Linked DNA regions of Oreochromis niloticus. The protein of the gene in region 2 purifies or fractionates together with the protein of the main gene of each other region. This does not show direct contact. Links are inferred from orthologs where the notes say so. Each region holds a gene or a part of one and is shown on either strand. Other genes may lie near its edges.

What was found. Proteins that work in one complex are often made in the same cells at the same time.
Region 1: the proteins of map3k8 (region 2) and tnip2 purify together in Homo sapiens (affinity purification with mass spectrometry; 3 studies listed by BioGRID and IntAct, with this or other methods). This does not show direct contact. The link is inferred for Oreochromis niloticus from reciprocal best matches to the Homo sapiens genes MAP3K8 and TNIP2.

Annotation. Positions count from the first base shown.
Region 1 is NC_031971.2:13,975,656-13,979,409, reverse strand, and holds the start of tnip2 (TNFAIP3-interacting protein 2), read left to right. Parts: upstream 1-1,512; 5' UTR 1,513-1,872; coding exon 1,873-2,193; intron 2,194-2,449; coding exon 2,450-2,752; intron 2,753-2,883; coding exon 2,884-2,973; intron 2,974-3,155; coding exon 3,156-3,419; intron 3,420-3,534; coding exon 3,535-3,651; intron 3,652-3,754. UniProt on the Homo sapiens protein: Inhibits NF-kappa-B activation by blocking the interaction of RIPK1 with its downstream effector NEMO/IKBKG.
Region 2 is NC_031974.2:29,561,004-29,564,757, reverse strand, and holds the start of map3k8 (mitogen-activated protein kinase kinase kinase 8), read right to left. Parts: upstream 2,866-3,754; 5' UTR 2,564-2,865; intron 1,964-2,563; coding exon 1,601-1,963; intron 1,469-1,600; coding exon 1,298-1,468; intron 1-1,297. Other genes in the region: mtpap (poly(A) RNA polymerase, mitochondrial), read left to right, coding at 3,065-3,245.

The sequences.
Region 1 (3,754 bases), on a different chromosome or scaffold from region 2:
TGATTCAGGTCAGCATTCGTTTTTTTTATAGACAGAATCTTTTGTGGAATCAGTTAGTTTCCACCCTGACACTTCTTCCCACCTTCCTACAATTTTTACACACTTTACACCTCAATTCTTGCTATTGTAACAAGTGTCACATGACTGCCATGTGACATCAAACGACATCACGGCTTCACACCGCTCATGTCTCTTGGTGTGATTGACCCAGAAATACCTGGGACTCCCCACCGGCCAGTACAACTGATGAACACTCTTGGTCTTTAACTCGGTACTCCTACTGTCTAGACAGTAGTTTCATTTTGACCTGATAATGCTTAGTACACTCTTCTTGTAGTCCAACGATGAACCTAAATGGAGCACGGTTTTGATAATGTAGTAAGTGTGACCTATATATGCTAGTTACTGTGCATTTTGTTCAAAGTGTCTGAGAAAAAGGTTACACACGTAAACTTGGAACAGTTTCAGCTAAACGATTACACACACTGTAATCTATTGGTTGTATTTATTTATTTATTACCTCCACATAAATATCTAGGTTCTTGGGACCCGTATTAAGACTATACATCCAAAGCACACATTCATTGCTAAAAGCACATCAGTCCATCATTCTACAGTATGTATTACATCTGTATTTTATACAAAATTGCATAAATATAAAGCCAGCTACAAACTGCAACAACAAGTATAATGAATTAAATTGGAATCAGTGGTGTTCTTTGTCATCCAACTGTAATTACGTTTTTGTAGTGAACACTTTTTTTATGTAGCACTTAAAAAAGAGAAATACATAAGAAAAGTAAAGATCCGTTTATTCATGAGTATTCCCATTTTGCAGTACCAAGAGGTCACCATGAACTGGAGCTGCTTCCAGTACAGCTTGGGTAAATTCTTGATTTGCTACCGTAAGAGACATTGTGTCACTTCCCAAAATATCAGAACAAAAACCAAACAAACACACACAAAAAACGGGATGACAATGTTCAGTCATAGACCGCTGCATCCTAAAATCAACCATTAATACGGCACCGGTGTGGTCCTTACTGCGTAATTCTTTGAATGACAATGCATTGCGGTGCATTTAAAGCTGTGGGAAAAAATTAAAGCCTGACAAAAATGAGTGGCGCGCATGGGGAATTTGTTATGACACTCTACGAGTAAATGCCCTAATGTGACTTTTAGGGGACTGAATGTGTAAAAACCCGGTAAACTACCGCTGGGAAATTAGCGTTTTTCATTTAGTATAATCTGATATTCCTTTCAATATTATAGTTTATACTTTCTGTAGAAAAACCTACAGCAAGCAGCATTTGGTTTGTAGAAAATAAAGTTGACTAAAGCGTAAGCCATTCCATTTTTTTCCCTTCTAAACCAAAGCTATGCATCCTTATAATAATAGTGGCACTAATAACACCGGTAAACATTTTTTTTTTTTTTACATAACTTAATTTTTGTTCGCTCTAACTAGGAGTAGTAGATTTTCCGACGTAATTGAATGCAGCAATCGTCTCTCTTTTTTCAGCCTTTAAGAGACGTAGCTTAAACTTTTAGCTACATTTAAAATATGTGTTTCTTTGTTTACCAAGTTGTGCCAAGACGCTATAAAATGTTTTTTTTTCTACCTGTGGATATCTACAGTGAACCTTTTTGAACACAAGCATGGCTCCTTTTTGACGAAGCTCAAAAAACTCCGCGGGGAAGTTCCCTAGGAAATCCCCGAAGACGGTTCGGGGGATATTATTCTCTGATGAGCCCAATTTCAGACAGTTGACGACGTTGGTCTTTTTCTGAAGACACGGGGCTCGAGGCAGAGGCGTCAAATGCTGGATTTTTAAGAGACTGGTGCGTCTGTCAAAGTCTACAAAACCCGCAATGGATAACGTCAGTATAAACAACACGGATAACGACGTGCTCAGAGACAAAATGCGGAGTTACAGCGTGCTTAATACTCTGTATCATGAGACGCGGCAGGAAATAGACCTTCTGAACAGACAGATCAGTGTAAAGGACGGTGTTATTGCAGATTTAAAAGCCAGGCTGGGGAGACACGAGAGGCTCTACATGACGGTGGGAGATAAGGAGTCTGTGCTCATTAGTCCGTCCAACTCTTTGGTGGAGAGTTTACTCAATGAAATATGCAAACTAAAACAGAAGAAGAACGAAGGGGACTTGAAGGCAGCCCGACAAGCTGAGGTAAAAACATGCTGAAGATTGTACACAGTCGATGTTTCTCCCTACAGCTCTAATCAGTGATTTATAACCATATATAGATTTTTTTTTATATCAGTTTGTTACTCTGAACTGTAAGCTGCTGTCTACTGTGACGCGTTCATTTTACAGTCTCTACTGGAGAAGTGTTCAGGGAACAAAACATGGACCATATCTGACATATCAGTTGCAAGCTGTTGTTGCCATGCCATGCCATTAATCTGTCATCATTGTTCCTCAGGAGATTCAGAGGCTGAACACTCAGCTCAGGGAGAAAGAGCTGGAGCTGGAGACCATCAGATGTCAGCCGGACCACGAGAAGGACCAGGAGATCCAAAGGCTACGGGTAGCCTTGCAGGAGAGGGAGCGGGCCGAGGCCACCAGAAGTGTCCTCTGTACCTCCCTGGCCGAGGAGGCCGACCAGCTGCGCGGGCAGCTCGGTGCAACTGTTAAGGTGTGCCAGGAGCTGATGGCGAGACTGGAGAAAGACAAAAGGGGAGGAGGAGAAGTGGAAGATGTGGCCCTTACGCAAAAGAATACAGAGGTGTGTAAATGCTTTTAGAAGTCACCAGTTGCTTTTGTAATTTCTTTTTAAATAGCTTTATAATACAGCTATTATTTTTTCAACACTTCAGGAGGGTCCTGTTGTAACCTCTGTTTTCTAATCTTTTACAGATGCCAGAGTCCTCTGAGATGGGTAGTCTTAATGCCCAAATCCGTCAGCTTCAGGAGGAGAATCAACAGCTAAAGCAGCGTGTGGCATACGTGAGTCTCATTAGTGTTATCTGAAATCAGTCAGGAAAAAAAATAGACATGTGATCTAATTATGTCCTTAAGGAAACAGATTTCAATTACTTTTGCACACAATATTAACACTCCAGTGGTGGAATATAAAACATGGTGCATGATCAAAGGTGTGACGTTTTGTTTTTTTAATTTCCTTTTAGGTACAAAGCCTGAATACTCAGTGGCAGAAGTATGACTCCAGCAGGGAGGACTATATAAGAGGTTTATGTCAGAGGCTGAAGGACAGCACCGGGCAGGGCTTGATGCCTGCGATGGGCTCCACCAACACTGGATTGCTTCATCAGGAGATTTCCAGGCTCAATGGCTTACTGGAGGAGAAAATGAGGGAGTGTGCAAGGCTTGCTAGAGAAATAGATGACATCAGAAGACAAGACAAGGAGCAAATTCAGACACTTGAGCAACAGGTTGGTGCGATTTCATGCCTGGTGATTGGCTGAGTTCTGTTAAGCACGGTTATAGTGTCAAATAACTAAATGTGAAAGATAAATTTTTAAAAAAAAATCTTTTTTGCTTCCTAAGGTTCTTATCTACACCGATGACTTTAAGTCAGAGCGTGCAGACAGGGAGCGAGCGCAGGGCCAGATTGATGCCCTGAAGGAGCAGGTTTCTCAGCTAAAACAGCAGCTGCACAAACAGGTGAGACAACAGCCCTGCACTTAGGTGCACGAGTGCCTCGACAGAAGCACGGACTTCCTTTTACTTGTTACCACCGTCCAGTACGTGTAGCTTGTGCTGACAG
Region 2 (3,754 bases):
GCTCAATGAGCCATCCTGGCGACTGTTGGGCAAATGGATCAGTGTTTGCTTACAGTGACAACAGACTAACTTTTCACATTTTGCAATTTTATTGGTTAGGGTGGCATTATTTGACAGTGCACAGAGGATTTTTCAGTTATTATGGGAAATAATACTTAACCTGACAGTTAAAGTTTCTGCAGTCCCCTTCAGCCTGTTACCCACTACTCTCTACCTCACCTTTGGACTAGCTAGCTCGGTAAAATGCATACTTAGATCTATCCATATATTTTCTTCCACTTCTTCCAATTCTGTATTGTGGTTTGTCTGGAGCGTGGAATCCACAGTACTAACCACCACACAGTGTGAGAGCAAAATGTGCAACTTGCATTTAAAATGCTGAAGTTTTGGAGCCAGCCTCGAGTGGCTATTAAAGGAACTACAGTTAATGGCTTCATTTGTATTATAATTATTGTTTTTTTTACCCTGACAGCCTAATCAGGGAGTTCAGCTCAGTTAACTCTGCAAATAAAGTATACATTTAATACATACTTCACAAGGACACTGACTCTTTCTGTATTTAACAGATTAGTTGACATAGTAACATACTGTTATCCTGTTTTTTTGTGCTTTAAGACATCTATTGTTATTAGTTTGTCAGTGATAACTTTAAAGTCGTGTTTCTTTAAAGAAATAATTTCTCTGTTATTATTAACTGATGATGGCATTGTTTTAAGCAGATAAGGACATCCTAATTCCAAGCCCTTATTGCAAACTATTTCCAGTAAATCCTCTGCAGTACATTCACAACAGCGTGAAAAAAAAAACACTGTGTCAACAGTATTCTGACGATAACACCTGACTAGATAGGAAAGTACTCGTTCCTCATTTGTCAATATTTTCCATACAACAGCGTAAGCACGCTGCCTCCCTCCCTCCTCTTTCTCAAGCATAGATCTGCTCAGATAGAAGCAGCATGTGTGGTTTTCACATGTGTCTTTAATGAATCTGACCCTGTCACAAACATCCAGAGGAGCTGTGGGAAGTTACTGTTGAAATTCCAGTCTTGCATTAATCCCAGCTCATGTTGTAAGTTTGTTACAAGAACAAATAGTTCTTCATTCAGCGGCGCTGTTCCTCTTTCACTCAGTAAACATAGCAAATGTCACGCTGGCACCAACAATCTTTGTACAAACAGAGGAGTAATTGGACTGTGAACGAGCAGTATTTGGCAGGTTAAATATTTGGCACGCAGGCCAAGAGCTGTCGAGAAGTCAAGCACAGGCGGGATTTCTAGTCACCGATCAGGAAGACTCACCAGTTTGCAGGCCATTCTCTTCCTGGTGGTGGTGTCCTGAGCCAAGTGGACTTTCCCAAATGAGCCCTTAGGCACGAGGCCAGACCCATGATTCTTGTAGGTCAATTTCCATGGAAACAGGAGCACGTCCATGTTAATCTGGTAGCGGCCTTTTTTCACAGCCATGTCCTTCTACAAAAACAAGATTTGTTTTTAGGAAGGAAAAAAAAAGAAAATTATGCAAGTTTTTCTAGCCTGACCATATAAACTAAACATTCAGGTTACTTTGGAGATTAAAAAAAGAAAAAACAACAAGATCCTCACCTTATTTAGGAGGACTCCCATTTCCTCTGGCAGGTTTGGCAAGGCTGCCGTCTGCATGCTGGACAGGAGGTTGACAAAGGACAGGACCTCTGTCACAGTCCCATATCGAACTCCATTAGCGTAGTCCTTCTGCTCACTCCCCAAAACCACCACCTCCCCTGCCTCCTCATTCTCATCCATCTCCTCCTGGGAAAGTCCTTCTTCGTCTTCCAACGACAAGATTTCTTCTTCCTCCTCTTCCTCCAGCCGATATAGAGTCTCTGCAGCGTTAATAATGTCCTCTAAATTCATGTGAGCCAAGAGCAGTTCTATTCCCGTGTCATATTTGTAATCCATGTTAATGCTCCGTTTGTCCAGCTCCATCTAAAATCAAACATCAGGAGGTCAGTGTGGGGACTGTTTCCGTGCTGACTTGAGTTGTATAAGCGAGCGGATCGTTCATGACTGGGAAGGTTCACGTGGGGAGCAGGACGTGCAGTGAAACTACACTTAAGAAGTGAAGCTTTGATACAGCTGGCTGAACACACAGCTGGGAGGGGCTTCACAGGGCTGTTTTCCAAGCAAAAGAAGGGAGTTTCGCAGTAAAGCTGGGAAGCCCCCCCAGGAAAGCTTAAACCTTATTATACATCTATAAAACAACAACTGCCCATTATTATAACTATTATTATCATTATGATGCTGCGATAAAGAGTTCAGCTCACATTACTCGATGCCCATCATACACATGTGCGTTAATGCAAACTCCACGCAAAATTTGAAATAAATACATAAAAAATAAACCGTATTACGATCCAAACATGCAACTTTAGAATAGCTGCCTAGAAAAAATAAAACAAACAAACAAAAACAGTAGCTGTAGAGCTATAACTAGCTATCTGCCAAATATTCAGCTGCTTAAAGAAAAAATAGAGTTTCGCTGAATAACAGGAGTTGCTTCTTTGAGTGACAGAAAACACGCGTTACCTGCCTTATGAAATTGAGTCGGAAGCTTAAGCGCACTGTTGTGTCTCCATTGTGGCGCCCCGCAGACTGTCTGATGTACGAAGCTCCGTGGATTGTGTTTAGAACGAAGTAAACACAGGAAGTGTGGCGTGTCTGTGGAGGTGGAGTACCTCTTTAGTGTCAGCTGCCAGCAGCCCTCTCTCGCTGTCTTTGTAGGTTTCGTTTTCCCTTTTCTTGTTTCCTCAAATGAAAAAAACAACCAAAAAAACGAAAAGCTTTCAGGACTGTTGGGTGCTTTCCTATCGGGAGACGTGTCTCGTTTAATGTAGGATGCATAATATATCACCAACACTGAAGCTTATTCGTAGTAAATAAAATAAAAAACAAATTTCAATTCAATTTCAAATTTGATACCTTTAAAAGACGTTACAGACTCAACCCAAAGCAATCGGATGATAGTTTTTAAACACTAGAAAGTGTCTTTTCTGGTATCTCTAGGTTGCCGTAGCCAGGACCAGGCGCATGCTCATTTGCGCTTCATTCCGAAAAACAATGGCGTCCTCCTTTGCTGTGTGCAGGTTACATATGAGAGGAAGGGCCAGCCTCGCGAAGTGCCTACAGAAAACCGACGCGTTTCTTCACAGGAGTATAGGAACAGACGTCGTTGTTGCCCAAGCTGAGGCCACTCGAAGTGACGAAAGTGGTTAGTAATTAAGCCTAGAAGAGAAGATGGCCTTTAGGCTAGCCCTAATACACCGCCGTGTGATGGCGAGTGAGCACCATTCCAAACTCCCCTGAGAAACGATATGTTTTTGTTGGTGAAGGCCGAAACCCTAAGTGCGTTGTGCGTTTTACACAATATGTGACCCGTAAGAAATCACTGGGTCATACGTAACATTCGGCACTGTGTTTGTTAACGATAACAACGCGATAACCCCTTTTCGGCTAAAGTTTTATTATATAGAACGTTTTGAGCTTGTACCTGTCATTTGTGGGACATTTATATTTACATAGAAAGTCCCACTGTAAAACTGACCGTTTTTTAAATGAGGTTTGTTGACATGTTCTGGGACAATTGAACAATGAAAACTAGAACTTAACCGACGATACATCACATTTTTTGCATTTTATTATCAATTTGGTGCATCTCAGTCTTTGAACGTTTATCAGTGAAAAACTGACGTGACACACCACAGAATTATTGCCTGCTGT